Linked DNA regions of Xenopus tropicalis. The protein of the gene in region 1 interacts with the protein of each later gene in a pairwise test. Links are inferred from orthologs where the notes say so. Each region holds a gene or a part of one and is shown in the gene's direction. Other genes may lie near its edges.

What was found.
Region 2: the proteins of csde1 (region 1) and hid1 interact in binary tests that used the Homo sapiens proteins (3 or more experiments, as listed by UniProt). The two-hybrid records come from large-scale screens. The link is inferred for Xenopus tropicalis from reciprocal best matches to the Homo sapiens genes CSDE1 and HID1.
Region 3: the proteins of csde1 (region 1) and c11orf68 interact in a two-hybrid assay, tested with the Homo sapiens proteins (2 studies listed by BioGRID and IntAct). The link is inferred for Xenopus tropicalis from reciprocal best matches to the Homo sapiens genes CSDE1 and C11orf68.

The regions. Positions count from the first base shown.
Region 1 is NC_030678.2:53,764,051-53,767,702, forward strand, and holds part of csde1 (cold shock domain-containing protein E1), read left to right. Parts: intron 1-18; coding exon 19-126; intron 127-1,180; coding exon 1,181-1,356; intron 1,357-3,237; coding exon 3,238-3,350; intron 3,351-3,652. UniProt on the Homo sapiens protein: RNA-binding protein involved in translationally coupled mRNA turnover.
Region 2 is NC_030686.2:44,285,061-44,289,272, reverse strand, and holds the start of hid1 (protein HID1), read left to right. Parts: upstream 1-1,349; 5' UTR 1,350-1,450; coding exon 1,451-1,516; intron 1,517-4,212. UniProt on the Homo sapiens protein: May play an important role in the development of cancers in a broad range of tissues.
Region 3 is NC_030680.2:38,499,443-38,503,665, reverse strand, and holds the start of c11orf68 (UPF0696 protein C11orf68 homolog), read left to right. Parts: upstream 1-1,396; 5' UTR 1,397-1,760; intron 1,761-4,223. Other genes in the region: drap1 (dr1-associated corepressor), read right to left, coding at 1,067-1,108.

The DNA.
Region 1 (3,652 bases):
ATTCCTGCTTTGTAATAGGAGTGTGAAGAGGGAATAATTTCTTATGAAGACTGTGGTATCAGGCTAACTGTATCATATCATCTAAAAGATATTGAAGGATCATGTGCACCCCAAGTTGGAGATAAGGTAATAAATAGGGAAATGTAAATTGAGAATTTTTTTTTTTTTGTCTGAAGATGTAACTTTAGCTAAGCCTTTTGTTTGACGATCACAAGTAGGAGTAATTACATGCAAGAAGTTGACCAAATCAAAACTGCACTTTACTGTTAAAGGAACAGTAACACCAAAAAATGTATATATTTTAAAGAAATTAAACTGTAATGTACTGCTGCCCTGCACTGGTAAAAGTTTTGTGTTTGCTTCAGAAACACTAATAGAGTTTATATAAACCCTGGTGTGTAGCCATGGGGGCAGCCTTTCAAAAGAAAAGGCACAGGGTATATAGCAGCTAACAGATAAACCCTGTAGAATACAATGGTGTCTTATCTGTAATCTGCTATGTAACCTGTGCCTTTTTTCCAGCTTCAATGGCTGCCCCCACGGCTACACAGCAGCTTATTTATATAAATTATAGTAGTATTTCTGACGCAAACACACCTGTTTTTACCAGTGCAGGGCCACAGTACGTTCTATTTGAATTACTTTAAAACACATTCATTTTTTGGTGTTACTGTTCCTTTAAGTAAACTTTAAGTAACTTTGGGTTATAAACTGTCACTGCAGTCTTTAACTGCAATTGCATGCCATCTGCTCCACCATTAAGCGTATTTAGACTTTGCATTAATTTCTATATTTCAAGATATTGGCGATATGGAAATTACTAATATTAGATTAAAACACCATCACATGCCAGTCCTGATGCTCGTGTCTGCTTACAAAAAATATCAAACGACTTCTTGTCGGTCTGGATTTTAGGACTTTCCTATTCTGAAATTTTGTCCAAGCTGCCAACCTGGTCAGCAGAACTGACCCTCAGTTGGTACTATTTCAGTTATATTTATTTAAATTGGCAGATTTGCAGGACGGTAAGCAACATCAGTAACTGATGCACTTAGACTTGCATTGTGGTGCTGCTCTTTACATTTCCAAATAGTATAACTTCCCATTTCATAAGTCATATGAATCTCATTTCACAGTGCCTTTGTAGTCTGAGTCTTAAAAATGTATTTTGTTTGTGCAGGTTGAATTCAGCATTTGTGAAGCCAAAAGAACTGGTCAGCAGAGTGCTGTATCCATGAAGGTTCTTGGACGCAACTCAAATGCCAAAAGATTTTATGGATATGTGGCCACCCTTAAAGATAACTTTGGATTCATTGAAACTTCAAATCATGATAAAGAAATTTTCTTTCATTACAGGTACCGTGTTTGAAATTATGGATTTGCAATTAGATTTGTTTTTTTTAGACACTAGTTTTTTTATTTTGATAGTGTTGTCCAACTGTGTTGGTATATTGATCTGAATATTAGGAAACATTATAATAAATCTGTTGTCAAGCCAAGGTTCGCAAGTCAGGTTGTGGACGTCCAAAGCACAATATCTGTATCAGGCCCATGTATTTTAGTTTGACGGCCCTCTCAATACATGATTTAATGTTACATGTCTAATCTCTTGAAGATTTTAGAGCAAAGTTTTGTCTCAACTTTAGGCCTTGCCATGGTGAACATTACACCTGTCTTACTCTGTCACTGCTACTAATATATTTGAATAAATGTCCAATCAAATGGACATATGGAATTATAACATGCAAACTAGCATAATTATTTTGGTGGTAGTGTCTGCCTGTCACTCATCCCTGTGTTTCACTTGTAATTTACTAGAGAGGCATTCTGCCTACATTTATCCATCTGAGGGCAGCAGCGGACGAAATTCCTGTGCCAAGGGCCTTAATAACATAGGACAGTGCTGTCCAACTTCTGCGGTGCCGAGGGCCGGAATTTCTCTCTCATACATGGTGGAGGGCCGCTAATGGAAGCCAGTTTTGACCACTCCCCCTTTAAACCACACCCACTTCAAACCACACCCATTTTATCACAATGGTGGTCATATTAAGATGTACCCTTAAATCCATATGCCTCCTCCTGCCCTGTGGAAGCAACCCCCAGCATATGATTACACACCTTAGGGACCATTTCTTCGCTATTTCCAACTGCTAACAAACTCCCAAAACAAACCCCTGCCAGGTTCGCCTTACACAGGCAGCATAGGGTAGGGAGTGTATGGTACACACAGGCAGCACTCTGCCTGCCCTATGCTGCCTGTGTGTGCCATACTCTGCGTGCCCTACCCTGCCTGTGTGTGCCATGCTCTGCCTGCCCTACCCTGCCTGTGTGCCATGCTCTGCCTGCCCTACCCTGCCTGTGTGCCATGCTCTGCCTGCCCTACCCTGCCTGTGTGCCATGCTCTGCCTGCCCTACCCTGCCTGTGTGCCATGCTCTGCCTGCCCTACCCTGCTTGTGTGTCATACCCTCCCTGCCCTATGCTGCCTGTGTGTGCCATACTCTGCCTCCCCTACACTGCCTGTGTGTGCCATACTCTGCCTCCCCTACCCTGCCTGTGTGTGCCATACTCTGCCTCCCCTACCCTGCCTGTGTGTGCCATATACTCCCTGACCTATGCTGCCTGTGTGCCATACCCTCCCTGCCCTATGCTGTCCACACACAGGCAGCATAGGCCAGGCAGTACATACAATGTCTGAGGTGTGAACAGGAGAACAACGCAGAGATTAGAAGGTGTGAACAGTACAGGGGTTACATTTTTAAACAATACAGCCTGATTACAGCCTGAATCTGAGGTGAGAACCATGCATGGGGCCAGTTAAGATCAGTAACGATACCATTTAAAGCTTACACAAAGGTAAGCCATCAAAGCAGCTAGACAGGCAGGGGGCCACACAGAGGGGGGTCACGGGCCACCAGTTGGACAGCACTGACATAGGATATGCACTTTACACTTCTATGCTTTTCTACTTCACAACCAGGGCAAAAACATCAACATAATATAAAATCGCAACAGTTTATAGCTGTCAACATCTGATAAGTTTTTGTTTGAAACCAAGTTTTGTCAAACTGTGGCTGCCTAAACAAGCCTTTTTAAATATAATTCTGTTTTAATTATCCACAGATGGTCTGATTTTGTTTGTTTTGTCCAAAAACTGCACTATCTACGCAGGAACTAAAAAGTAAATTTTCGGTTTAGCTATGTTGTGAAAAACTTTAAATCTTGTTTTGTTGATACAGTGAGTATTCAGGAGATGTGGATAAACTGGAGTTGGGGGATATGGTGGAGTACAGTTTGTCAAAAGGCAAGGGAAATAAAGTCAGTGCTGAGAGAGTTACCAAGGCTCATCAAGGTAGGTGTATTATAAATGCATATAAATTGGATATGTATTCTACTGTACCTTTTACTGCTAAAACGTTACCTGTAATGTGTGAGGTTTTTATTGTATAGATCTGTAGAGAGCATCGAATAACATTGGACCCCTGTTTATCTTCTATATAAACATGTGCCTTTTTGCCCTATTCAGCATTGAGTCTTTACTAGCGCATGGGAACGGAGGTACTGGTCTTTTCTAGGTTGTCTGCCTAAACACTGTGTGTGCCGTTATTGGGAAATGAATTGGATATAATACTTTCTGGTGGGTGGATTGCGATG
Region 2 (4,212 bases), on another chromosome or scaffold:
TAACCTTGTTATGGGCTAAGGGGGCCCAGCCTGAAGGCCAGTTAGGGGGGGATTTGGGGTGAGTGCTTATTTGTGCCCTGGGTACCCCTGGAACTATAGCGGGGTGACTGTTACCCCAATGTTTCTATATATCTGTAACCTTGTTATGGGCTAAGGGGGCCCAGCCTGAAGGCCAGTTAGGGGGAGATTTGGGGTGAGTGATTATTTGTGCCCTGGGTACCCCTGGAACTATAGCAGGGTGACTGTTACCCCAATGTTTCTATATATCTGTAACCTTGTTATGGGCTAAGGGGGCCCAGCCTGAAGGCCAGTTAGGGGGGAATTTGGGGTGAGTGCTTATTTGTGCCCTGGGTACCCCTGGAACTATAGCGGGGTGACTGTTTCCCCAATGTTTCTATATATCTGTAACCTTGTTATGGGCTAAGGGGGCCCAGCCTGAAGGCCAGTTAGGGGGGGATTTGGGGTGAGTGCTTATTTGTGCCCTGGGTACCCCTGGAACTATAGCAGGGTGACTGTTACCCCAATGTTTCTATATATCTGTAACCTTGTTATGGGCTAAGGGGGCCCAGCCTGAAGGCCAGTTAGGGGGGGATTTGGGGTGAGTGCTTATTTGTGCCCTGGGTACCCCTGGAACTATAGCAGGGTGACTGTTACCCCAATGTTTCTATATATCTGTAACCTTGTTATGGGCTAAGGGGGCCCAGCCTGAAGGCCAGTTAGGGGGGGATTTGGGGTGAGTGCTTATTTGTGCCCTGGGTACCCCTGGAACTATAGCAGGGTGACTGTTACCCCAATGTTTCTATATATCTGTAACCTTGTTATGGGCTAAGGGGGCCCAGCCTGAAGGCCAGTTAGGGGGGATTTGGGGTGAGTGCCAGACTGGTACAATTATAGGTGCATTTGCTGTGACCCTAGTCAGCTGGGTGCCCAGTAACGCTGGTGCAGTTCAGCCTCCCCAAGCTAGCAGCAATCACATCTGCCAGAGGGGTATGAGAGTTCCATGCAGTTCAAGCAGACCCCTTGGTGGAGCCCCAGTTGCTGCAGTTCAGCTATAAGGATATATATACAGGCTACCCTGGAAAGAGAGCTATACAGAGGCAGGAGTTATAGGAAGCATTACGGTTGCTATTGGAACAGCACATACAGTATCACACCACGCTGCCCAATCAGCAAACACTGACACCTGGACACACAATATGTCATCTCTTCCACTTCCTGTAACTGTATGGGCGGGGCCTGCAGGACAATCAAGGCGTGGTTTCAACCTTGATGCTGGTGACGGGGGAGAGGCGTGGAATCCGTGGGCGGGCTGCAGACGCTCGGTAGGCGGGATTACCGGGGGTGATTGACGGATCCGGTTCTCCAGCTGTTTCAGGCGGATTTAATCCTACCCGGTCGGGAGGGGTGGAGGGAGTGGACGGGCCAGGGCAAGGTTCCAGCCGGTAACGGAATGGGGAACACGGACACGAAGCTGAACTTCAGAAAGGCCGTGATCCAATTAACAACCAAGACTCAGGTACCTGCTGCACCGCCCAGCACCTTGTGGCACGTCATGTATGTGTGCTGGGGGGCCGCCTATACAGGTGCACTGGGGGGCCGCCTATACAGGTGCACTGATACGGGCTGTACTGGGGGGCCGCCTATACAGGTGCACTGATACGGGCTGTACTGGGGTGCCGGCTATACAGGTGCACTGATACGGGCTGTACTGGGGGGCCGCCTATACAGGTGCACTGATACGGGCTGTACTGGGGGGCCGCCTATACAGGTGCACTGATACGGGCTGTACTGGGGTGCCGGCTATACAGGTGCACTGATACGGGCTGTACTGGGGGGCCACCTATACAGGTGCACTGATACGGGCTGTACTGGGGGGCCGCCTATACAGGTGCACTGATACGGGCTGTACTGGGGGGCCGCCTATACAGGTGCACTGATACGGGCTGTACTGGGGGGCCGGCTATACAGGTGCACTGATACGGGCTGTACTGGGGGGCCGCCTATACAGGTGCACTGGGGGGCCGCCTATACAGGTGCACTGGGGGGCCGCCTATACAGGTGCACTGATAGGGGCTGTACTGGGGGGCCGCCTATACAGGAGCACTTATAGGGGCTGTACTGGGGGGCCGGCTATACAGGTGCACTGATACGGGCTGGCTATACAGGTGCACTGATACGGGCTGGCTATACAGGTGCACTGATACGGGCTGTGCTGGGGGGCCGGCTATACAGGTGCACTGGGGGGCCGGCTATACAGGTGCACTGGGGGGCCGGCTATACAGGTGCACTGGGGGGCCGGCTATACAGGAGCACTGATAGGGGCTGTACTGGGGGGCCGCCTATACAGGTGCACTGATAGGGGCTGTACTGGGGGGCCGGCTATACAGGAGCACTTATAGGGGCTGTACTGGGGGGCTGGCTATACAGGAGCACTGATAGGGGCTGTACTGGGGGGCCGCCTATACAGGTGCACTGATAGGGGCTGTACTGGGGGGCCGGCTATACAGGTGCACTGATAGGGGCTGTACTGGGGGGCCGGCTATACAGGTGCACTGATACGGGCTGTGCTGGGGGGCCGGCTATACAGGTGCACTGATACGGGCTGTACTGGGGGGCTGCCTATACAGGTGCACTGGGGGGCCGCCTATACAGGTGCACTGGGGGGCCGCCTATACAGGTGCACTGGGGGGCCGCCTATACAGGTGCACTGGGGGGCCGGCTATACAGGAGCACTGATAGGGGCTGTACTGGGGGGCCGGCTATACAGGAGCACTGATAGGGGCTGTACTGGGGGGCCGGCTATACAGGAGCACTGATAGGGGCTGTACTGGGGGGCCGCCTATACAGGTGCACTGATAGGGGCTGTACTGGGGGGCCGGCTATACAGGTGCACTGATACGGGCTGTACTGGGGGGCCAGCTATACAGGTGCACTGACAGGGGCTGTACTGGGGGGCCGGCTATACAGGAGCACTGATAGGGTTTGTGTAGTGGGGGGCCGCCTATACAGGTGCACTGACAGGGGCTGTACTGGGGGGCTGGCTATACAGGTGCACTGATAGGGTTTGTGTACTGGGGGGCTGGCTATACATGTAAACTGATAGGGGCTGTGTATTGGGGGCTGGATATACAGGTGCACTGATAGGGGCTGTGTATTGGGGGCTGGATATACAGGTGCACTGATAGGGGCTGTGTATTGGGGGCTGGATATACAGGTGCACTGATAGGGGCTGTGTATTGGGGGCTGCTATACAAGTGCACTGATAGGGTCTGTATTGGGGGGCTGCTATAGAGCTGCACTGATAGGGTCTGTGTATTGGGGCTGACTTTACAAGTACACTGTTCATTTATTGGTTGACAGCTATGCAGGAATTGTATAGGATCCTCACCTTCACTCCTTTTTGTCTGCATTTTAGTGGTGCTTCCGGTTCCCTGGGTGCCTGGGTGCCTGGCTGAACATCACCCAAAACATTCCCAGGGAATAACAGAAACAGCCCTTACATGAAAACTCTGGCGCCGTGCCTTTCATTTTAAACCACATTCAAATGTAAAAAGCAAAGTGCCAGTATTTTCATATGAGAGCTGTTCTTATTGTTTACCTATACAAGTGCTTTAACAGGGCCTGTGTACAGGGGGGGGGGGCTGGCTGAACAAATATGGGATCCATTATCTGGAAATCTATAATCCAGAAGTCTCTAAAATACAGGACTGCGAGTCTATACAGGTGCACTGAGGTGTATATTTCCCTAAGACCAGACCATAAATTATGTGTGTAAATACTGAAGATCGGGGATTGGGCTCTGCTTTACACCCACGATTGGAATTTGTGTCCCTGTTACACCAGTCTAGACCAGTCTTACAGTGGGGGACCTGTTCCTTGTTACACAAGCTTAGGTACATATCCTGCTGGTGATGATAAGGGGTTAGGGTTTCTCTTTCCCCAGCCCTAGGCCAGTCTGATGGAGGGAAGATGTTTCCCTATCGCACATTGTGTATTTAGGTTATGGCTTTCCTTGTTCCACCTGTTTATGCCTGGGGGTAGGCTTCCGTCTAACACACACCTGGAGCAGTTACCTGTAGGATAGGTGCAGTTCAGCTGGCTAGGCCATGTTTGTTTGTCCCTTATAGACCCTTTGCATTTGGGGGCTGGGGTGCGGGGATAGACATGTACCCTTATTACTTCTTTCCGGAACTGTTTCATTGCAGCTGATTG
Region 3 (4,223 bases), on another chromosome or scaffold:
TCATGGAGGAGCCAAATAAGGGCTTTGATTGGCTATTAGGGGCCTCTATGCAACCTATCAGCTTACAGTGGGCTTTATTTGGTAGTAAACCTTGTTTTTATTCAACCAAAACTTGCCCCCAAGTCAGGAATTCAAAAATAACTCCCTGGTTTGGGGGCACTGAGAGCAACTAATGTTAAGGTAATGAGGAAGGCCTACTTGTGCACTGGATGAATAGGATAGCAAGGTGTATGCGTGTCAAACATAAGAACAGTGGTCTTCCAATTGACCAGCCCCCCCCCCCCCCCTTTTAAGGCCCACCACCATTTTACCAGGACACCCCCAATAGGGCCAACTAATTGACCCCCCCCCCCTTTAGCCCCATCATTTGACCAGGGCCCCCCTTCCCCTTTAATTTCCACCATTTGACCTTACCTCCCCCCCCCCAATAAGGCCCAACACTTAACCAGGACCCCCTCATCTAAGGCCCACCACTTGGCCAGGATCCACCCCCACCTTAATTAAAGCCAAAAACTGCCCAGGTCCCTTATCTTCTCACCTTTAAGACCCACCATTTGGCTTGGACCCCCTTAGCCCATAACAAGATCACAGACTCTGTGTATTATCCATTCAGTCACAGCCATAAGAACAGTGTTCACCCCAAAACTTGCTTTAAATGACCTTCATGAAGGGAATTAAATAGTACCTTGGGCATTCTACCCAGCTATGTCCCCGGGTGGCTGCGGGTTGGCCCTGCCAAGGCACCGAACATCCTGGTCGAGGGGCAGATACTCCGTTAAGGAACCAGTGTATTGAACGTAAACAATATATGTTTATAGACTGTACAAAAGGCACTAGTGAGCAATAACAAGCTGCAGCGTGTGCGGATACAGTGTTATTGTTACAATGAGGCTGAATACTCTGCACAACGCTCCTACTGCCCATAACCATAGCGCTGGGCAGAGCAAAAAAGATGCCAAAATCCGGCGCAACGCAAAGGATCCAGAACCAGAGGGGGGTCCTTGCGGGAGATTTTCGGGGAGCCTGTACCAGGAAAGAGCGGTGCGAGAGGAGACCGCCGACTCACCGGGGGAAAACGAGCGTTGTATTTCTTTTTCTTGCTCGGCATCTTCAGCGAGGGAAAGGGCGGGGGAGCAGAACTCAGCTGAGGCCTCCAGAGAAGCGGCAATAGCCACAAGCAGCAGCGCCGGGAGACTGGCAGTGTTCGCGCCCAGCGATGTTCATTAAAGTTGAGCGAATTGAGGAGGAAACACACCCTGCCCCGCTGTGCTCACTGCGCTGCTTCGCGAACAATAAAGTTTATTGACGAGCGCTGCCACTTCAGTGTTGCTTTTGTAGCGAGCAGTTCATTGAGTTGTGTATAAACTAAAGTTGTGTCAGCTTGGCCGCATTGCAAAATGCTTCTGTAGCGGCACACTTTCCCGCTGTAACAAAACCCATGCGATTTTTGTTTTTCTCTGAACTCGGAAATATTGCTGTATTGTTTGGTTTGGATGATGCACATGCCACAATATAAGTAAAGTGCATGGACGGCCGACCCTGAGGTGCTGGGTTGAAGCCAGCCGCGCACTAATGTACAGTATACTGTATTTTTTCTTCAGTGTTAGTGGCTTCCTCTAGTTAATAAAGTTTTTTGAAAAAAATGGAAGCAACAAAACCCTCCCTGTCTAGCAACCCAACATGTCACTGTTTCCGCGGCAACGCGGCCTGGTACAGGAAGTGGGACGCTGCAGCGACGCGACTTCGAATCGCTTAATCTTGTAAGGAATGAGTACATTTCCAGTGATTGGAATAGGCTAGGTTACCTGTTTTCCTGGTCATCGCCTTCTTTTCCTCTAGGTGTACTCTGTAGCTTTCTAGGAGTTCTTGAAAATGGTTTCATATTTTCATGTATATACACACAGAGAATACATACTTTGATCATTTATGTAGTAGGTACATTTTAATATTTACATTTATTTTAATCATTCTGTGGATCTCCACGAACACATATGTATGAATGTGTCTGGATTTGAAGAGAATGAGAGAAAGAAATAATATATATATATATATATATATATATATATTACAAGCTATTCTTTCTCTCATTCTCTTCAAATCCAGACACATTCATACATATGTGTTCGTGGAGATCCACAGAATAACTAAAATAAATGTAAATATTAAAATGTACCTACTACATAAATGATCAAAGTATGTATTCTCTGTGTGTATATACATGAATAAATATATATATATATATATATATATATAAAATACATAGTGATATAATACATTCATACAAAGTTAAAAGAACAACAATACCAAAAAATGAAAGTGTAACAGAATACACTTGTATTTACAGAGCTAATTTGTTATTTGTAAACCTGTGCATTACTCCTTCCCATCTTTAATGGCTACCCATTGCTACACAGCAGTGTGTTTATATACACAATAATAACATTTCTGAAGCAAACACATCAGTTTTACTATATGACTATGAAGATTTTCATTCATCCAGGTCATGGTATATCAGGCATGGGACCTGTTATCCAGAATGCTCAAGACCTGGGATTTTCCGGATAAGGGATCTTTCTGTAATTTGGATCTCCATAATTTTCAAAAATTGGAATTATTTGTTTGTAATGGAGTCTATGGCAGATGGCCTTTCATTAATTTGGAACTTTCTGTATAATAAGTTTCCAGATAAGGGATCCCATACCTGTATAAATAAATCTAAAGCAACTTGACTTGCTAAGTAATCATTGAAGACGTTTCAATACTCATCCGAGCAGCTGTCTTCAATGATTACTTAGCAAGTCCAGTTGCTTTAGATTTACTTATACTAGATATCACTTTTATTAGTACAGGACAACAAATTATCATGTTTTAATTATTTTCAAACACGTTAATGCTCGTTGATGCGGTCCCCGATCCGACTGCCCCATTGCCGCTCACATAATCCGATCGTCTGGCCCCAGGGCCAAACGATCGGATTATTATTTTTTTTACCTAAATGGTCCCCGATATCGCCCACCCGTAGGTGGGGATATTGGGGGAAGATCCGCTCGCTTGGCGACATCGCCAAGCGAGCGGATCTGCTCGTGTATGGCCACCTTTAGGCTGGTGCTGGGAAGAAACCTCACTGGTCTGGGGAAGTTAGAATTGCATTGTTGTCTTTCTGGTTAATAAATGCAGCCACGCAGATAGGCAGCTGCTGGAATGGAGCAGTGAGCACAAAGAGCAGACAACCATCTCTCACATTTCCTGCTTGCATTTGCATGCCTAGATCTAATTGCACACATGCCAGGCTGCAGTCATTTCTTTCCCATTCCCTTATTCCCAGCATAAGGACAAATTTATTAAAATTTAAGATATTTGTTTTGCCTCAATGTGATAAAATGCTGATACACTTGATCTTAATTATCTTATTATATGCATTTTGAGATACATTTTTAAAAAATCGCTTGAAAAAATTTGCCTGATAAAACCCTGTTGAGCTTGGCTAGAAGTAATGGGAAGTGTTTTTTCAGGATTCAAGCTATTTTATTTTTTTTGCGATTTGTAAGTCAACCATAGACTCATTTAAAATGAACGGATCAATGCAAATATGCTAGCGATCCAGAAAAAAACTCTGATAAGCTGGCCCTGGTAAGGGCAAATTTTATTTAAGCAATGAATTTCAGATAAGGCACTGGTCTGTTTTCTGGGAAGTAGAGAAGAGATGAGCAGAGCTCAAGTTATGCCACACATTTCTATTCCCTTGGGTATATAAAATATTTGTGTTTGCTTCCACTTTTATGCATTTTTGAAATAAAGTTCAGTAAAATGATTTGGTTATTCAAAATAGAGTTCTTTACTTACTATACCATAGAAACTCCATCCAAAGTCTGTAGTGAAAATGATCACAAAATATGGTAACGTCTGCCTGGCACTACAAAGTGATACATTTCAGAACAGTAGTGTAACTAACAGAGAAACAGTGGGTGCAACTGCACTGGGGCTTGCAACACTGCAAGCTTATGGCTCCTGCCACACAGGGTGGTTTCTCAGTCTGCAGATAAACAGATGCTTAGTGTGCCTGCAGCTGGGCCTGTGCAATGGCCCCGGGTGCAGGCACAGCAATGAACTTATTGAAACGTAGGGGCGGATTCTCATCTGTGTTTATCCGCCGGCCAAGAATCCGCCCTGTATGGTAGGAGCCTATGGCATAGGGGCCCCAGGACAAATTTTGCCTTGGGCCC